Linked DNA regions of Rhinolophus ferrumequinum. The protein of the gene in region 1 purifies or fractionates together with the protein of each later gene. This does not show direct contact. Links are inferred from orthologs where the notes say so. Each region holds a gene or a part of one and is shown in the gene's direction. Other genes may lie near its edges.

Region 1 (10,121 bases):
TCGCCCCAGCCCTCACCCACACCACGGACTCTTTTGATACTGAAGGGAGGTTTGCGTCAACGACTACCTGCTCTGTAATTACTTTAAAAAAAAAAACACGGAAAAAGTAAAAAAATATTTTTTTTGGTCATGAAAGCATGGAGGAGAGAACAAATGAAGTGAATGTGGGTGGGGAGCAGAAGGAGAGGACGTTGCAGGCCCTTCAGGAAGGGGGGTGCTGGCCCCTCGGGTGCTGAGTACCCTCATCCTTGAGCTCAGAGGTCCCACAAGGAAGGGCTCAGTCACCCGGCACTAGTACTTAATCTCCCCACTGCTCTTTTGAGGTAGGCACTGGGGTCCTCTCCCCTGTCCCCACTTCTCAGCAGAAACCGCGGGACCCGTATTAGTTTCCTGGGGCTACTGCAACAAGTAGTAAAAACTGGGGGGCCCAGAGCAGCAGGAATGTGGTGTCTCAGTTCTGGATCCGGGAGTCCGCGATCAGGTGTGACAGGCTCGGCCCCCAGGCTCGGCCCCCTCTGGAACCTGTCGGGGAGGACCCTTCTCTGCCTCTTCCAGCTTCTGGTCGCACCAGATGTTCCTGGCCTGGTGGCAGCGTCACCCCGATCTCCACCAGGCGTTCTCCCTGTGTCTCCACATTGCCTTCCCTCTGTGCACGCTTGCCTCTGTGTCCCAATTCCCCCTTTTTATAAGGACATGGGTCATGTTGGATGATGGCCCTCCCTACTCCAGCATCACCTCATCTCAACTTGATCGTCTACAAAGACTGTTTCCAAATGAGGTCACACTCATAGACAGGACTATGTATGGAGGTCAGGACTTCAATACATCTTACTGAGGGACACAGTTCAGCCCATGACAGAGCCAACCCAGAAAGCGTCCATCCCCACTGCAAACCCATTCAAGACACTGCCACAGAGAAGGCGGGACACAGGGAAGGGGAAGGCGAAAGGGAGGGAAGGAGTAAAGTGGTGTGAGGTGCTGTAGCTGCAGCTGGGGCCTGCGGGGCAGGACAGAGCTGCACTTCCATCTTGTTAACGCAGAGGCAGGACGGATGGGGTCCGGGACTAGGAGGGGACTATGCTGGTGCTCAGAAGGGAAGGGGGCCGCATGCAGAGCCCCCAGAGCCAGCAAGTAGGAGCAAACCCAGGGGCCACCCAGGACAGTGGGCAGCTGCTGGTGGGGCTGGGGGAGGCCAGGGTGCTGGCATTTCAGCCTTGGGAGGGCTGGGCTCCCCTGGGCTGCCATCTCTTGCTGTCTAGACAGGCAGAGACCGATGGAAGCAGTGGGGCCAGTCTGGATGAGGGGCCAGTCCAGGCCGACTTGGCCATGGACACACAGCACTAGGCCGGGGAGCAGGCTGGGTCTCAGCCGTGTTCTCTCTCACTTCAGCCCAACCTGGCAGCACATACAGCAGGCGTGGGTGCTGTGTGCGACACTCAGGCCCCATGGAGTTGAGGACTGAATGCGGAGCAGGCAGGAAGCCCCCAGGTGCCCACCAGGGCCCGGTGTGCTCTGGGAGGGCCTGGCCCCAGTCCAGGGTGGCCCTGCCCCTCTCCCTGTCTGTTTCTGCCCCGCAGCATCTTATCTCCTCCCCCACCTGAGGCTCCTAAAGCAAATTCTTCCCTTATCGGCTGCCAAGCTCTCTGTCTGCACGTCTGCTCTGTCGCCTGTCAACTTGGGACTCTACCCCTCACTCCCTCTTTCATGCTCTCTTTCTCCCTGGTCCTCTTTCAGAGCCAATCCTGGTTGCCGTGGCAACGCTGCAGCGGGTACCAGGTGGCAGTTGGGGGCAGGGAACCAACACTGCCGCAGCCTCCACCATTTCCAATGCCGGGCACCCACGAGGTGCACTGGCTGAGGCTCATTTTGGGGGGCATTCATGGCCTCCCCAGGCCTCAAAGGCTTCTCACTGACCTGTGGGAGGTGGGGAGTGGGGAGGGACAGGTTTGGGAGTGAGAATACAGCACAGGGTGGGGGGGCCAGATGGCACAGCTGGGGAAGGGGAGGATGAAAGATGAGAAGTCAAGGTGAACTGAAGGAGGTTCTGGAGAGGGGCTGCGGTGAGGGGAACTCCATCTCCCACTGCGATGTGGGGAGACGACGGGGTATGACCAGGCCAGGCCTCCCTCGGACCTTGTGGTGGGGAGGAAATGATGTCTTGGCCCGGCTGGGCACAGAATGGCAGCCAGCCCAGAGGAGATGGGGGCAGGGGCTGGAAGGATGGCGATCCAGGGTGGAGAAACAGAGATGGAGACGGAGAGAGATCGGAGAGATACAGAGACCCAAAGGGAGCACAACATGAAGGACCATTGAGTGTTGACAAACACGGTGCCGAGGTGCGGGGCAGCAGCCGCAAGGATGGGCACTGGAAATGCACAAAGGGCCAGACGGAGAGCCCAGAGGCCCCATCACCATCTCCTCTCCCTGCTCCCAACCCTCTCAACCCCCACCCCAAGCAGGATGCAGTTTCCATGACAACCTGGCCGGCCAGAAGTGGGGGCAGGGGACTGCAGAGGAAATTTTCCACATCAGCAGGAAGGAAGGAGTCATGCAGAGAAGCAGCCCATACAGTGGGGGCCACGCAGGGCCAGTGGAACCCCAAATCATCATGCCCACTGCCCTCAGGATGGTCACCCTGCCCCCACCCAGCAAATCTGCACCCTCACCTCTGGGCCTCTGCTGGGAAGGGGGAAAGCTTGGGAAAGGCTCAAGGGTCAAATGTCCAAAGATCAACGGCTGCCCAGGCCTGGTGTGTGTGTGTTGGGGGGGCAGTCAGCAGACGACGGTGCTCGGATCGCAGACCACCAGATTCAAGGACATGGCCCTCGACAGGGTCCCGCGGAGGGTGGGGGTGGTGGGCTACGGCCGGCTTGGTGAGTCCCTGTCTGGGGCCTCTTCCCCAGGCCCCCTCCTGAAGCCCCCAACGCCCCCAGGTCCTCCACAAACACACCTTTCATCTATGCCTTTATCTGTGCCCTGGCTGTCTGTCTGCCTGATCATCTTCCATTCCCCACCACAGGGCTCCATCCTTCTCTGTGTCTCTGTCCCCCTCTCTCTGTTCCCCTCTCTGAGTTTCTTTCCCTCTCCCTAGGACAGTCCCTGGTCTCCCATTTGCTGACTCAGGGACCAGAACTAGGCCTAGAACTTGTTTTTGTCTGGAATCGCGACCCAGGACGAATGACGGGGAGCGTACCCCCCTCCCTGCAGCTCCAGAACCTTGCTGCTCTTGGGGAGAGGTCAGTGACCTCGCCATGAGTGGGGCTCCCTGAAGCTCCTGTTCTGGCCTTCCTTAGCTGCTGTGTGACCTCAGGGGAGTCCCTTACCCTCTCTGGGCCTTGGTTCACCCAAATGTGAAATGAGACAAGCCCATACATCCTGTTCCCCCTCCCAGGCCAGGGTGAAGAATGACAGGCCTCTATAGACTAAGGAAATCTGGGGAGGGGAGGCCTAATACCTCTCCAAGGCCCTCCCCCATCTCTCCCCTCTCCCAGGCACCCTGACCTTGTGGTGGAAGTGGCCCATCCCAAAATAATCCACGAATCTGGGGCACAGATCCTGCGCCACGCCAATCTCCTGGTGAGCCCTGCCTCTTCCGCCTCGGCCCCACCCCACCCCAAAGTGGGATCTACCCATCCCGACCTCAGTCCCTCCCACCTTCACCTACCCCAGGTGGGGTCCCCGTCAGCACTCGCTAACCAGGCCACAGAACAGCAGCTCCTGGAGGCCTCGCACGAGTGGGACCATGCTGTGTTCGTGGCCCGGGGGGCCCTGTGGGGTACTGAGGACATCAGCCGACTGGATGCAGCTGGAGGCCTCCAGGTGAGGGCCTGTGGGCTCCCCAGGATCCAGAAGGGGCCTGCAGAGACCCCAGGGCCCCCTGACCCTGGCTCTTACTTCTAGAGCCTCCGTGTTACTATGGCCACACATCCTGATGGCTTCCGGCTTGAGGGACCCCTGGCGGAAGCGCACAGCAGCGGGTCTCGCACTGTGCTGTATGAAGGCCCTGTCCGTGGACTCTGCCCATTTGCCCCCCGCAACTCCAACACCATGGCGGCTGCTGCCTTGGCTGCCCCCAGCCTGGGCTTCGACCGTGTGATCGGGGTGCTTGTGGCTGATCTCAGGTGAGCTAAGCTGGTTGGGAGTTTGGGCTGGGACTGGGCCAGCCAGACTGACCACCCTGCTTGCCCCAGCCTCACCGACATGCATGTGGTGGACGTGGAGCTGAGCGGACCCCCAGGCCCCACAGGACGGAGCTTTGCTGTGCACACCCACAGAGAGAACCCCGCCCAGCCAGGCGCTGTCACCGGCTCAGCCACTGTTACTGCCTTCTGGCGCAGCCTCCTGGGTGAGGCCAGGCCCCTCCCCAGTGCTAGCGGCCCCCGGCCCCAAGCCATGGGCTCTACGCTCTGCAGAGCTTGGGTCTCGATCCTGCAGTTCTGCTTTTGTGTCTGTTGGTTGACCTTTATTTCTGAATCTCCTTAACCTTCTATGCCATGACTTTGAATCTTTTTATCTGTGTCTCTGTCCACTCCCCAGGTCTTTGTCCCTTTTGCGGGGTCTCTCTCCCACTCTGGGTTTTGGTCCCTTTCTCTAGGTCCCCTCCACCCCAACCTTGGTCTGTCCTTTCCTCCAGGTGTCTCTCTCTCATTTCTCTGTCTCGGCCTTTCATCCCTCGTATCTGCCCGCAGGCTGCTGCCAGCTCCCCTCAAGGCCTGGGATCCATCTCTGCTGAGAAGCCTTCAGTAGAAGACATCCTCCTCTCCTTTACCTCCCCACCACCACCGTCCTGCAGCTGCCCTGGCCTCAGTTTCCCCGGACCTCCCTCCTGTCTCAGTAAAGATTGGAGGTTCTTACTGCACAGCCTGGTGTCTCTACTCCCTTGTAATTCTCTGTGACGTCAAGCTGCGCATTCGCACTATACATTACGCCATACCAGGGGGCGGGAACCCCGGGAGCAAAAAGCCTGGAAGCTATCGCGAGAGCGGACCCATTACATTTCCCAGAATCCTCTGAGCACTAGGGGGCGTGGTAGTGAGCGAAGGGGACTCTGTAGGGCACACTTCCGGGATTCTCCGCGGAGAACTACAGTCCCCGAAGTTGCAGCCCCGCGGTCTCCGAGCGGTAGCGGAACTTCCGGGCCACGCTGGCCCAGACGTTCCGTGCGGAGTAAGGGCACTTGCGGAGACCGCCGGGAGTCGTAGTCCGGCACGCGGCGGCCGCCGGGAGCTGTGGGCCGTCTGGCCTGCCCAGTCAGCGCCGTGCTGCCCGCCCCACACTCGGAGCCTACAGTCGCCGCCCAGGGGGATGCGGGAGCCCCTGGTTCCGGCGAGGAGAGAGGCAGGCGGCGTGAGGGGCGTTGCTGGGCAACGGGCAAGCGCTGCTGTTGGGGTACGGGTTGGGGAAAGGGCTCTGTTACTTGGTGTCCGGGGAGGGGGCCCTGTTGCCAGGTGACAGGAAGAGAAAACCCTGTTGTTTAGTGACAGGGGACGGGAGTCGTCTTGTTGCTAGGCGACCAGAAGAGACCCTGTTACCTAGAGACAGGAAAGTAGAATTCCTCTGTTGCTAAGTAACCAGAGGAGAGACTTGTTACCTGGTGGGGGGGTTCTCTGTTGCTAGGTGACCACCATAGGACCCTTTCACTTAGGGATGTGGTGGGGGTATTCCTATGTTGCTAGGTGAGCAGAAAAAGGCTTTTTCCTAGGAATGGAGGATGGAGGGTGTACCTATTGCCAGAAGAGCAACCCTGGAAAAGGATGAAGGGCCCAGTGTTCCCTCAGGCTGCTCTGAGCCCCAATCTCAATGGCGGTGCCCCTAGGGTCTGCTGACAAGTTGGGCCTCTAGACCCCAGTCCCCTGAACACCTTCTCCCCCTCCCCCCCGAGCAGGAGCCGAGGGCGGCATGTCCCAGGGCCCGGGAGCACAGCCGAGCCCGCTCCCCGTGTACCATGAGCGGCAGCGCCTGGAGCTGTGTGCCATCCACGCCCTCAACAACGTCCTCCAGCAGCAGCTCTTTAGCCAGGAGGCTGCCGATGAGATCTGCAAGAGGTGACCGTCACCCACCCAACCCCTGGAGAAGCAGGGCTCACAGAGGCAGAGCCACCCACCTGGGTCTCAGCGAGGCAGGGGCAGAGCCCAGCGGCTTTCTGCTGCCCCATCACATGCCTAAGCTGGACGCTGGGACTCAGAGATGGACATGTTGCCTCCCTGTTCATCCCCAAGCCTCACCCCAACTCAGGCCTCACCCTCTCTTATGTGGGCGCTGGTCCCCATTTTCCCTCTAGCCTCCCCGTTTCTGGGTTTTCTCCTCCAGTCCATCCTCACATGCCCCAGTGCTGCCCCTGCCTCTCCCCTGCTCACAGCCTTCCCGTGGCTCCCCAGCTTCCTGGGGAGAAGTCCCAAGGCCTGCAGCCTGATATCCAAGCCGCTCCGTGCTCTGTTCCCCACTGGCCTCTGCAGCTTCACATCTCACTACTCCCCAAAAACCACATTCCTCTCCCATCCCTAAAGGACCCCCACTATGATGCCCCTGGGCCTTTGCACAAACTGTTCTTTCTGCCTGTCACGGCTTCGTCCTCTTCGCAGCCTGGAATGTTCCTCCTCACTGTTCAAGATTTCAAACATCACTTCTTTATTATCTCTCTGCCTCGTCCCCCTCCTTCTCCCACAGCCCTGGCCCCAGCTCAGTACCCGTTGTCCCTTGGATCCCCCCTTCAGCCTGCCGTCTCTCCACCCCGGGCAGGCTCCACAGGGCCCTGTACCCAGAAGAGACCCTGTCTCCCTCTCTCTTGCTTGAGGCCCTCCCGTGGGCCCCCAGCATCAGCATCCTCAGGCTGAGTCTTATCCCCTCAGATTGGTTATTAGAGAGTTGACTCATCTCCTGTGTCATTCAACACAGTCGTGCCAAGGCCATCCTGGAGACCTAAAGATGTGTCCGATACGAGCCCTGCCCTGAGGGGGCCAGACAAACAGAATACACAGAAAAATAATATACAGATTTCGTCCTTTCCACCCCTCCCACTGCTCTGACCACCAAGAGCCCAGAGAGAGAACAGAGGTGCTGTTGTTCCGAGGAGGCGGGGCTGAGAGACGAGTGTTGGCGGGGTGACCCTCCTGCTCTGGGGGACAGCTGGAGGAAAGGCTGGGGGCAGGATCACAAGAGATGTGGTTGGAGACAGGTGGCTGGGAAGGGGCTGGTGGGGGCTGAGGCTAGGAGGCCAGCGGGGACCTGACCATGTGGGGCCTCTACGGCCAGGCTGAGGGGCTGGCACTCTATCCTGGGGTGACAGGGCACCAGGCAGGGCTGGGAGCAGAGGAGGGCAGGGTCAGCACCAGGTGTAAAAGATCCCCTGGTCCTGTGGGAGATGGACGGAGGGGGGAGACGAGGCTGGGTGAGGGTCCCGGTGGCAGAGGACAAGGCCTGAACAGGAAGGTGTGGTTGGAGGACAGGCAGAGTAGGGCCTGGGGCTGATGAGTCGCAAGGGTTAAAGAGCGGGAAGAGCTCAAAGGGTGGGTGACTCATGGACCCTGGGACTCTCCTGCTCTGTGGGGAGGCTTTTCAGTGACCCCGAACTCAGACTCTGATCACCCCCCAACCAGGTTGGCCCCCGACTGCCGGCTGAACCCCCATCGCAGCCTCCTGGGCACCGGCAACTATGACGTCAACGTGATTATGGCCGCACTGCAGGGACTGGGCCTGGCCGCAGTGTGGTGGGACAGAAGGAGGTGGGAGGCTTGGTGCCGTGGGTGCCACGTGATAGTGGATGCCTCGTGGTGGTGGTCAATGTGGAGGGAATTAGGAGGAAGGGGATGGGTGGGCTGGAGGGAGGAAGAGGGAGTGGGATGGAAGGTTTCCATGGTGGACGATGGCTGGCAGACTGATGGGCTGGGAGGTGACAGGAGGGTGTGTGAGTTTCTGGATGGTTGATGGATGGATATTGGGTAAATTAATGGTAACTGGGTGACTGACTGGAAGGTTAATGGCGCTTGGATGTGTTGAGTAGATGGTGATTGGGTGATGGGCTGTGTGAATGGTACGTGAGTGGCTGAGAGAATAAAGGATGGCTAGTTACCTGATAGGCTGTGGACAGCAAATAGGTGGGTGGGTGGGTGGGTGGGTAATGGGGGGGTAAAGAGTGGGTGAGTTGGGTGGCTGTTGAAGAAGCTTGTGGGTAGGTAGGTGGCCGGTTGGATGGTGGTGACTGCGTCAGTGGGTGGATGGTGTTTGGGTGAACAGTAGATGGGGCATTGGATGGTGAGTGGCGGTTAGTTGTTTGGGAACTTCGGATGGGTGGTGGGTGGGTGGTGTGTAGTGGATAAAGGACAGATCAATGGTAGATGTGTGCGGAGGGAATGGGGAGTTGGGTGGACGGTGGTCGGAGGCTTGGATGGCTGTGAGGTAGTGGGATGAGCAGTAGAAGGACGTTGGATGGCTGCTGGGGGTTTTTCATGGGTGGGTGGGTGGGTGGGAGAACAGGTGAGTTAAAGGAAACAGGGTGGGCTGACTGAGGAGGGTCCTTGGTGGGTTCAGGCGGCCCCGCTGTAGGTCAGCCTGGGCCGCGCACGCTCAGTGCCGCTCAGCCCTGCCCCCGTGTCCGGCCCCGCCCACACAGGCCCCTGTCCCAGCTGGCCCTGCCCCAAGTGCTGGGGCTGATCCTGAACCTGCCCTCGCCCGTGTCGCTGGGGCTGCTGTCCCTGCCCCTGCGCCGGCGGCACTGGGTGGCCCTGCGCCAGGTGGACGGTGTCTACTACAACCTGGACTCCAAGCTGCGGGCGCCTGAGGCCCTGGGGGATGAGGACGGCGTCAGGTGAGGGGGAGGCGATGAAGCCCCTTCCCCCAGAGGCCAGCCGAGGCCCCCTGGACCTCAGTCTCCCTGTCTGTCCGCCCAGGTCCTTCCTGGCAGCCGCCCTAGCTCAGGGCTTGTGTGAGGTGCTGCTGGTGGTGACCAGGGACGTGGAGGAAACGGGCTGCTGGCTTCGCACAGACTGACGCCGTGGAGGAGGGAACCACTGCCGTCCACCCAGCGTGTCCCTGTGCGGCTCCTGTGCCTGCGCCTCAGGGACCCTGCGGAGGCCCCTCCCCCTTTCCCCACCTCTGCTTCCCAATGCCGCTGCTGCCTCAATAAACGTGCAGATTTGCTCCAGGCCTGGCCCGAGTCTGACTGGGGCCCCCTTTTCTTCAGTTACTCCTGTTTATCACAGGCCGGGCACCCAGGCGGGCCATGCCAGGAACCCTAATGCTGGCTCTCTGCTGTCCCCCAGCTTTGTGACCTCCTGCGAGTCACACTGCCCTGGACCTCAGCTTCCTCCCTGCCCTCGTGAGGCCCACATTCCGGTGGCAGGGAGAGACCAGAAGTGAACAAATAGGTGCCAGTAGAGTGTTCGGAGAGAGAAGTGCCAAGGAGAAAGCATGGGTTTATTTCTTGACTCTCAATTCTATTCCTTCAATTGCAGTAGTGGCCTCAAAAGATGTCCCCGGCCTAATCCCTGGAACCTGGGGATATGTTCAGTCACATGGCAAAGGGGAGTGAAGGCTGCAGAAGGAGTCAGGGTTGCTCTGGGAGCTGACCTTGACATAGAAAGAGGATCCTGCACTCTCCGAAGGAAGGATGGTGAGGGTTCTGAAAGGTGGAGAGGGAGGTAGGAGAGCAAAGCCAGAGAAAGACTTGAAGAAGGCAGCAGGCAGGGTCTGAGAGCCAGCGCCCACATGGGGGCTTGGAACACACAGGGCCATGAGCCAGGAAATGAGAGCGGCTCCTAGGAGCTGGCACAGGCAAGGACGCAGACTCCCCCTGGACCCCCAGAAGGAACTCGTCCTGCCCACACTTTGACTCTAGTCCAGTGAGACTTATTTTGGAAGTCTGGCCGCCACAAATGTTAAAAGAATAAATGTGTATTGTTTTAAGCCATGAACTTTGTTAGAGCAGCCATGGGAAACAAATGCAGTGTTAGGGTTCATTTAGGGCGGTGGGCCTCCAGGAGAAGGTGTCATTTGAGCAAAGACTGGAAGGAGGAGAGAGAGGGCGCCATGGGCAGGTCTGGAGGAAAAGCATTCCAGGAAGAGAGCGGCCGTGCAAAGGCCTTGGGGCCTCGTGTGGAAAGGGAGAGGAAAGGAGCGGAAGGTGG
Region 2 (10,121 bases), on another chromosome or scaffold:
TCGAGGGGCACCCTTCACCTCAATGACAATGTCAATGGTGCCACCCAGAGTGTGCCGTGTGGTGGTTCTGGGACAGAAAGAACATGGGAGGGCATCCGCTGGATGGATGTAGAGCCATTTACCTGTTTCCTTACTTCTATGGTCACCCAAGATCTCCAGCAATCTTTCTGCACTTTTCATTTTAGAGGACTAAAGGGGGACCTGGCCACAGGAGGTGAAGGAGCTACAGGGAGAGTACGGCCTTACTCTTGAGGAATGCCAGCCTGGCGGGGAGCAGATGGGTGGGAGAGGTGCCAACCTAGGCTCCCCTGGGACTTGGGGACAGTGAACTCCACAAACATTTCAAAGTCAACATGCCTTAAGCTGGCTCCTTATCTCAGCAGCCCCTGCACCCTGACCTGCTTCTCCTCCCGCTTTCCCCATCCTGGTGGACATCACCACTGTCTACCCGTGGTTCACCAAGCTCTGCAGGACCTGGCTTTGGCCTCAGCCCTTGTTCTGCCCTACTTTGCACCCTGTGCCCCACCCACACTGAAATATTTAGTTCCCGTAATACGTCAAGCTGTTTCATTGTCCTGCTTTTTGTCATGCTAGTCCTTCAGCCTAGAATCCCTTCCTTACCTTGTCCAGCTGCTTACCTGTCAAGAGTTCAGGTCAAGCAGGTCTCCCTCTACAAAGCCTTTCTTGCTCATCCCTTCAACCCCCACCCCTACCCTTGGTCCCCAGGTAGAGCTCAGGACTTCATTTGTCCCTGTAGTCCAAGATCTAGTGCTGCTCCTGGCATATCATCAGCATTTGATGTATATTTTATGAATTAAAAAAAAAAAATGAATGAATGTGGAAGGTGATTTTGGGGGTTGAATTTGATAAACCAGACCAAGCCCACATGTGGTACCCCAGTGCCACCACATTTCTGATAAGAATGTCTTCCAAGTCATTTCTACTCCTTTCTAGAGCAGGGTCCCCTCTAGTCCTTTAGGCCATTTAGAGGCCACTTAGAGGCCTGGCCCCCACCACACACAAGTACACCGCTCCTTGGTCCCTGCGCTCCTCAAACACTGGCCCCTGGTCTCTTCTCTGATCTGTGTGAGGGTTATGCTGTTCAGGACAGTGAGCCCTGACACACCTTCCTGACCCATTTCACAGGTGCTGAGTCACCAGGTAGATGTGGGGCGGTGGGGGGGAGGCGGGTGGTGTTGAAGACAGGCAGCTCTCGTCATCCATGAGAGGCAACCCCCTTAGCGGGGCCATGTGGGGCCATCTAGGAGTGGGGGCAACACACAGTGTTTCTCACTGATATGTCATCACACTCTCGGGCTGGGTGAGCTCTTTGATCTCCAGTCCACTGACGGTACCGGGAATGGCAAGCATCCATGTCCTCTACAGCAGGCTGGTTTCCAGGAATGCCCTTGGCGCTGGCCCCTGCTGCCTTTCCACCAGGGCAGTGTAAGCCTGCCTTCCAGCCGAAGCACTTCCAATTTCCCTAAGTCAGCCTTCCCAGCCTCCCGTGGGCCAGGCATTCAGGTAAGTGGAGTTGGACCTGTTGATCTCCTTCTTGGCTCCAACCGCAGAGGTATTTCTTCCTCTAGGCAGGGCCCTGTCTTTACCATCCTCAGCAACAGTCAATTCTGTGAGCCTGCTCTTACGGGAAACCTGTTACTTTGGTTGAGGAGTAAAAGAGAGGCTGAACTTCAGTCTCGAGGAATCTCATAGTTTGAATGCTAACATGCAGGGCAGAGACTAAGCTCTTGGACAACGGGAGTTTAGAAAATCAAATCCAAAGGACAGACACATGTATGCTTTTCTTTTATGTTTTAAAACAAGCTAACTTAAGCCACGTGTTTTCCTATTCGAAAGATGTGGAGTTTGACCTCTGTTCCAACTGGCTCTGCCTCTGCTCTCTGAGCAGGCAGCTCTGGTTCCTGGGATCCGATGACAGTTTGGGCAGACACACAGGATGAAACCTACTTCACGCTGTACACCCAAAGCATCCTGGGTGGGCAGGGGGACTCCTGGTTCCAGCTGGGAGACGAAGAGGTAGGTACCAGTGGCACCTCTGAATCAATCTGGTATTCCGACCCCCCCCAACTTTCTGTCCCTTCTGCTACAGGAATGTCTTTGAGAGAGGAGACGAGGGGCTTCGAAGAGTGGGCAGATGAGAGACTCCTAACAGTAAAGATCAGGATTTGCAGAAGTGTGCATCTTTCCAGTAGCTTCCATCGTCCACTTTTAAACAGACAGCCTCACGGGCGGGGCTGGGTGGTTGGAACATGGGCTTCTGTGACTAAGACTTCTGGGGCCCCAGAGGCAAGTATTTCACACTCTTCCCAACCTTGAAAATAAACCAGTGTTGAAAACCACAACTTCTTTCTTGAAAGAGTTGACCCTGTCAGATAGCGAGTGGGTTTCTAGATATAAAAAGGTGGACTGCGGGGTGGGGTGGGGTGGTAATTTAGGAAAAGAGAGCTGGGAAGACTCGAATACTCATCACAGAGCAAAGAATCAGGCTTCCCAGAGTCAATCCAGGAAGGGAGATGAGGCGGAGGATGGGAAGGGAGTAGCAGGAGGAAGCTAGATTAGACACAATGGCCTGGGGAGCTTTGTGGGGTGGTGTCGCCAACGAGAAATCCCAGGTGACGATATAGCCAAAATAACTTTTCAGAACATTTCAGAAATGTGATTTTAAATTGTTTGCTGTATGATGTAATCTCTCCCCTGTGGCCAACAAATTTTCATTAAAAGTTCTACTACATGTTATAGCATTATTTGTGTGGTTGTTTTGGAATAGGGGGTGGGGGTTGGAAAGAACAGGGCTGTGTTCCCTATGTGAATTGACCGCAGGAACTAAAGAAACAGCCACCAGACCAGAACACTGAATAACACTTCGCATGAGGCAGAAAACTAGAGCCGGAGGTAACCAGGAAAATCAAAGTTCCCCCAGTAATACACTGAAATCCTGGGGAGGGCATTGGACTTTCCACAGGACGTGGGAGTTCAAGACAATGTCATCTGAATCTCCAAGGACACGCTACCTTAGGTGACATTAGGTTACAGATATGCTTTGCCTCTCCAGCTGGACTAAGCCTTGCAAAACATAAAATGTATCACGCGGATCTTTACTATCCAGGGCCTAGAACAAAGACAGAACGTAGTAGGGCCCAATAAAAACATGTGAATGGTCCATGAACGCCCTGGGTGCCACACTGGTAGCTGACCGAATCTAATGGGGGGCGGGGAGGGAGGGAGGCGCGAAGCAGGAAAGCCTTTCAGTCTGGAAACTGCCCCCTCCCCCCTCCTGCTCTCCACCCCTCTGATCCATTAGCCCTATCCCAATGGCCAGATAACATCAGCTCTGTGGCCTAGAGGTCTGTAAACAGGCAAGGCCCAGCGAAGACAGCGGTGGAGGAGGTCACAAAAGGTTGTGCAGAAACCACATTGCTCTGAGTCTGTTCTGCCCACTCTTACGGAGTCAGAGGCAAACACTGCCCCTTGGGAAGGGGCTTCTGGTCTAAAGGGCTTGGGTCGGAGGCAGTGAGTGAGTGGGCTGTCTTAGGCCCCGTTGTTTCCTAGGACTGGCTGCAGGATGTGTCGTGTGGAGCTCTGGTCTTTGATCCCAAGCACCCCCTTACGCCGTTCTGAGGCCTTGCGGGGAACCCCACAGCCCAGTCTCCCCAGTTCTGCGGCATCCCTGCAGGAACCACGCGCCGCTCACAGGGCTGATGGCGCCACCTGGCGGCGCCCCGGAGCCCACTCACTCTGGCAGCTTCACCCGCGAGCTGGGAAGTAGGAGGGGTGGCTCCAGGGGCCCAGTCCTGCGTGGTGACGTCATGACCCAGCGCCGTTTCTCCCCGCCCATTTCCCCGCCCCGGAGCTGCCAGTACTTGACGTGGCGTCACCACCCTCTACCCTTACTTTGCGTGCGTGTGTGCGTGCGGCGGAGGTGGCTGCGCGGGCTGGTCGGAGCTCGGCGTTGCTGCTTTTGGGGCTCCTGTCGCCGCCGCGCTGTCCGGCTGTCTCGGGCGGCGGAGCGGACGAGGCGCCGGCCCCAGCACCTCGGCACCGGACGCGGCTCAGCGTGGAGCCGGGCGGGAGGGTGGGCGAGCGCGTGTCGGAGTGCTCCGCGCGGGCGGGTGGGCGGACGCCCGAGAGGGAAAGAGGCGGGGGCGGCGGATCAGCCGCGGGCCCGGCCGGCCGGGGGATGTCGATGCCTGACGCGATGCCGCTGCCCGGGGTCGGGGAGGAGCTGAAGCAGGCCAAGGAGATTGAGGACGCCGAGAAGTACTCCTTCATGGCCACCGTCACCAAGGCGCCCAAGAAGGTGCGGGGGTTCTGGGTGGCGGCGGGGGCCCGGACTGGGGCCTCGCGGAAGGGGCGCGAGCGAGCCCCGGGCTCCAGCTAGTTCGCGACTTTTGGGGCGAGGGGATCGGGGACGACTGAGATGGGGTAGAGGTGGCGGGTGAGCGGCCCCAGGCCTATCCCGAGCTGGAGAGGCCGCCCCTGACCTCACTTTCCTTTGTCCCTCGGCCCCAGTCCTTCGGGATCTTTTTGAAACCTGACAGGGCTGGGCCTTAAATTTGTCCGTGACTTTTCTGGGGTGAAGGGCCTCGAAGACGGGAGTCGGAGGGGGCGGACCAACTCAGTTGACCCTTGTTGCCAGCCCCAGGGGATGGGGGTGTACAGAAAATCTCCTTTCAAATGAGTGGGTAAATCTGGTAAAGCTTCTGTAGGCAAATCTTTGCAAGCAGTGGCCGGTTTATCCAACAACTGCGTGCTAGCCTGGAGACAAGCGGGAAAAATGCGTGGAGCTAGCTCTGTTATGCAGGGGAAAGCAATGAGGGCATCATGAGATTGAAAAGAAAACTGTGATTTTTCACCTACAGTCATCCAGTTGCTTCGACACCCGTAAAAAATTAGTATGTGGAGGTTGGTGACGGGAGACACTGTCATGGATACAGGTTGATCGCAGAGTCGTGAATAGACCACTTGGGCTTTCCTTGAGGAGGGAGCTAGGGTGGGTTGGACGGGTGGGTGGTATGGAGCGATTGCTCATTCTTGCCTGCACTTATTGAGGCAGAACAAGTTTCCTCTATTGTACTGTGGGTTGAGCTCAAAGGACGCCCTTCTCATTCTCTTGTCGTGCGTGGAAGATTAAATGGCAACCTTTGGAGCTTTCAGTCTAACGAGCTCTCAGAATGGTGGAATTAGGATTCCTGGTGCTTTCTGAGCATTTGCTGCCAACCACATCTTGACTTTCCACATACCTGGCATCCACTTAACAGTACACCAGAGAACCTTCGCAGAGAGGTGACCTTTCTGAAACCAGTGAGAACCTGGATAAATATTTCCCTCTTGGATAAAAAGTGTTTCAAGGCTGTCCCTGCCTACAGCGTTTGATGGATACAGTGCTTGTATAAGCCAGGAACAAAGCCAGGTTTGCAGGAATGGTTAACAATCCTTAAGGCTCCTTCATCTGAACTAGTTAAGCTGTCCTAAATGGGAGACAGAACTTTTTTTAAGGAAATTAATCCACCTCTCCAGAAATCAAATGCAGGATCGAGAAGACAAGTCACGATTCTGTGGTTTAACTCCATTTTCTCACGAAATTGAGATCTTACTAGTAGAATGCCTTTAAAAGGGTGGTAGAAAAACCCTTGATTCTAAGGAGCCTGATTAAGCTTATTTTTAGTGCTCTCAGTTCAGCTGACTGCTTTGTTGGGCAGTAACCCTTTGCGATCTGCATTATATGGAGACACAGACACAGCCTTTATAAGCAGAATGCTTAAGGGCAGTGCCTGTGATGAGTTAGGGAAAAGACCTGGGAAATCGCTGGTACCCTAACTCCCTGAACTCTTCCTCTTCCCCGTTAGCCTGTCCCTCCTTTGGTTGCTTCAGGGATTAGGCACCTTTATTCGTACTTGCCTTTATTTTAGTAAACCTTTATTTTTGGAAATGCTGCTATTAATAAGACGAAGTTTGTATTGTAGATTGTAAACTCCGTCAAGGCAGGGACTCTGGTTCACCATTGTATGCAGTGTGCCTAACTGTCTGTACCTAGCATCCAGTAGGTACTCAAATAAGTGCCCGCCTGGCTAACTAGCAATTAAGACGTCTGTATGGCTGCCTACCAGGAATAAATAATCCTTTTTCCTCTTTTCTTCCCAGGAGGAATATTGCTAATGTATTATTGTCAGGCCAAGTGCTAATGATTTTAGAGATTCATTCCATTAGCTGACAGAAGCAGTCTCTGCTAGGAATTGGGGAAGACCCCGTGTAAATTTCCATTTGCTGGTAAATGTGTCCCCGTGTTTCTTATTAATCTTGCTCTTTCTGAGCTTTTATTGTTTAGCATTTACACAGCACTTTGTATTAAAGTGCTTTATGATGACTAATTACCCTTCCCCAATGATGATAAAAGGCATTTATTTAGTTGATGAGTTGGTCGAGGACTAATCAAGGTCATATAGCAGCAAGTTCTAGGCGATCCATTTTTTCAGAACTTTGGCTGAATCGGATATGTTGACCTAAGTCACTTTTGTACCTGTGCCATGCGTTAATACTGTGAGAAAGCATGAGGAAAGTAAGAGAAAAAATGTAGCTTGGCATGTGAGAAAAAGGCCTCTTCAAATGGTGCTGTCCTTCACCTGTGAGGATTCTGGTATGGCTCTCTAGACCAATTAATTCCTGGAGCATACGAAGCCCTGAGGCCCCTTGGGAATTGAGGACATTTCTGGTGCCAGTCAGAGGGTATAGGTTACTTCAGGGTGACTTTGACAGTCCTCAGATCAGTTTCCAGTGTAACTGGTGAAATTTTGTTTTCTTTGGGGAAGAATGGATGTCCGTCAAATACTGAGATTCTTCAATTATAATCATAATTTACTCGGTTTTGTATTCTGTCTGCCACAGTGCTATGTGGTGTAATCAAAAAATACAGTGAATGTCTAAATTTTAAAAAAATTATTACAATGAAAGCCATAGTCCCATCAATCCCTCTCAGAATATTCTCCCCCACTTCAAACACACGTATCCAATTGTTCTTGCCATTTTCGGAAGCAGTTCTGGAAGTCCTCTTTCATGAGTGTCTCTAGTTGCGCTGTCATGGCTGCCTCGATGTCCTGAATCGCTTCAGAATGTTTACCTTTCATGGTCATTTTGACCTTGGGGAAGAGCCAGAAGTCGGACGGTGCCAGATCCAGTGAATAAGGTGGATGAAGACATACCTTTTCTGCTACTTCGTATTGCAGAGGTGATAGCCACCTTGGGCCTTGGGAAATTGAGATTATGTCAAGTTGATTTTTTTTCCATAGGGTAAACCCAAATCTTCATCTTGTTGATAAAACTTCCTACGGTAGACATCTTTCTCTGGCAGGCCTGTCAGGTCATTTGCTGTTCTCTGTACTTCTGAACATTTGGTGGGGGCAGGAGAGGAGGCTCTCTGGAGTGATGCATTAGGCATTTGACCTAGGATTTATGCAGACCTGTACCAGCAGCACAGGAGGCTGAAGAAGAGAAAGAACGCAAAAGAAATTACTTTTGATCATAGGATATTCTTTATTTGAATAAAGCATATATTGCACTAATTCATCAAAGGGGTTGGCTGAGACTTAGGAAGCATACTAGGTAGAGCCCCAGTGAGTACTGTGTAAATGTTAGCCTGTTGGGTGGAACCCAGGGTCCTCCTCTTAAGGGTTATGTAGCTTATTCTTGGTGCAGAATTTATACCCGTACTTCTTAGAGTCACTGAGAAGAGATTTGATAGGTTGACATTTCCTGTCTTCTCCACATCATTAGTAGTATCTCTTGAGTCTCTAGAGTGGCTTCTGTTTTAGCGTCAGTCTTTGAACAAGAGTCAGACATGTAAGAAGATCCTATCTTGTTTAGATTTCTCCACAGATACTGATTACTTCTCTTTTTCTTACTTGATTCTGTTTAGTTTGATACTAGTTTCCATTATTACTTTGTTCTAAGTTCCTTTAGAGGTTTAACTTGTAACAGAGCAATCTGTTCATTGCCTAGATCCCTTTCTGGCAGTATTGTAAATGTGTGCCGTTTGTTTTATCAGGAGAGTATCATGTGGATTTAGTATGAGTTACCCAGTATAACATTCTTGTAAAGTTTTTAATGTATTTTGATACATAGAATATGGACCTTTAGTTGCCTGTGATTCCTCATAAGTTTACTCTGCCACCTCAAGTAGTTATGGTCTATGAACAAGTACCGAAATGCTCTCTTAGGGCTCTTATTTAAAGGAACTGGCCAGTAAAGTAGAACCATTTATACCTATCTGTTTCTCAAGTTTGGGAATATTGAGTATTAAAATTTTGTAATTTAGAACACATCATATTGAGGTGGGTCAGAAGCATCCCCATCCTGTATGAAGAACAATATATTTGCATTCACCAGAGGTTTTTCCAACCTGAAATCTGAGAATCCGGAGTTAAAGACAAAGTCTTAGCACAGGTTGTCCTTCAGGCTCTCGTCAACACTCTCAGTGCCTTGTGTATGGTGAGCAGTTAAAACTTCACGTGGAATTGTGGTCACCTTTTCTCTTCTGTTTCCGTGTTTCCTTTTGTTTCATTCAGGTAGTTTTCTGCCATCCCACTGTTGCTTGGCTGTTACCTGAAACCTCTTTAACTTTTCCTTTTTGTTCCTAAAACTGTGAGTAGTACAATGTAAGTCAAGCATTTGATTTTTGGAGTCAGGTTTACTTTGTCTCTACCATTTAATAGCTGTATGACTGGATGAGTGGCTTAACCTATCTAAGCCTCTATTTTTCTTTCTTTTCTCTTCTCTTCTCTTCTCTCTCTCTTTCTCTCTTTGACTCCCGCCCTCTCTTCTTCCTTCCTTTCTGCTATCTGTAAGTGAATTTATTTCGCTCTCATTTTTGGAAGATAGGTTTGCTGGGTACATACTTGTAGGTTGACAGTTATTTTTATTAATAGTTTGAAGGTATTTTTCCGTTGCCTCCTGGTCTTAATTATCACTAAATAAAAGTCTTTCTAATTATTTCTTTGTAGGGTATCTTTTTTCCCCCAGCTACTTGTAAGTTTTTGAAGACTGCATATCACAGTGGTCCAGGGCATGGACTTTGAGCTTCCATTTTCTTATCTGTAAAACGAGGAATGGTAATTGTACTACAGGACTGTTGAGAAGGTTAACATCTGGTAAATACTGCTTAGTGTATTTACTCCTTTATAACTAGGGTGACCATATAGCCTGCTGAGCCTGGTGTATTTGAAATATTCTTAAAGAGCCAAAACAAAGATGTTTCTATTGGAACGTCATTTTAACAGGAAAAAACTTTTACCTGACAGGTGTTATTTTATGTAGAGCTTACACCTATTGAACACTACAGTAGTTGCTGATTTCTAGGAGGCACATAGACAACGGGAGAACGTGGAGCTTGTGATGGAAATGGGATACGCTCTATCTGACCACTCCAGCACCCTGTCCTCCATACCACACATGCACCCACAGAAAGGGGGTGTTTATCAGACACTAGTCTGGCTGAGTCCAGGAGTTCGTTTCTTCAATCTGCAGTTGTTTGGGAGTCTTCCCAAACTAGAATCCGTGAATACCATGAAACCATTCCAAAACCTCCTCTGAGCTGTGACTTTATCTTTTTATATAGTCACCTTCAGATCACATCCCTGTGTACTGAAACTCCCTCCCCCAGGCACAATTTCTCTCTGCTCTGAACAGCCTGCTCCTAATTATGTATAACTGATTTTCTGCTGCAGAAATGTGTGGCCTTTGCTCACAGCAATTACAGAGTTAGAGTGGAACACCCAGGCGTTTGTCGACGCTCAGACTGGTTTCATTTTTATTCCTACCTCTGTTCAGTTTTTCTAAAGGATTCTGGTGCCTTGATCTCCGTATATGTAATGACTGGTAGGCTTAGCAATATACAATGGGGCTTAATCATTTACTGCCCAAACAGGACACCAAGTAAAAGAGCTGAATGAACTACCTGTAAAAGCTAGTGTTTGCAGTGCTGGGGGAGAGATTGGAAAGGACTCGGACAGAGCCACGAACCTAGGACTGTCTGAGCGTACTCCTCCTCTCTTGCATTTTTTAAAATTAAACACTAGTTGACATACAACATTATATTAGTTTCAGACGTA

The links. The genes of interacting proteins can lie anywhere in the genome.
Region 2: the proteins of JOSD2 (region 1) and AHCYL1 purify together in Homo sapiens (affinity purification with mass spectrometry; 4 studies listed by BioGRID and IntAct, counting the BioPlex papers as one, with this or other methods). This does not show direct contact. The link is inferred for Rhinolophus ferrumequinum from reciprocal best matches to the Homo sapiens genes JOSD2 and AHCYL1.

Annotation. Positions count from the first base shown.
Region 1 is NC_046298.1:45,303,931-45,314,051, reverse strand, and holds JOSD2 (josephin-2), read left to right. Parts: upstream 1-5,014; 5' UTR 5,015-5,388; intron 5,389-5,884; 5' UTR 5,885-5,898; coding exon 5,899-6,044; intron 6,045-7,595; coding exon 7,596-7,721; intron 7,722-8,608; coding exon 8,609-8,803; intron 8,804-8,885; coding exon 8,886-8,985; 3' UTR 8,986-9,139; downstream 9,140-10,121. Other genes in the region: ASPDH (aspartate dehydrogenase domain-containing protein), read left to right, coding at 2,819-2,873, 3,092-3,236, 3,492-3,576, 3,670-3,819, 3,901-4,121, 4,191-4,345, 4,689-4,732. UniProt on the Homo sapiens protein: Cleaves 'Lys-63'-linked poly-ubiquitin chains, and with lesser efficiency 'Lys-48'-linked poly-ubiquitin chains (in vitro). May act as a deubiquitinating enzyme.
Region 2 is NC_046305.1:41,997,538-42,007,658, forward strand, and holds the start of AHCYL1 (S-adenosylhomocysteine hydrolase-like protein 1), read left to right. Parts: upstream 1-3,840; 5' UTR 3,841-4,198; coding exon 4,199-4,318; intron 4,319-10,121. UniProt on the Homo sapiens protein: Multifaceted cellular regulator which coordinates several essential cellular functions including regulation of epithelial HCO3(-) and fluid secretion, mRNA processing and DNA replication.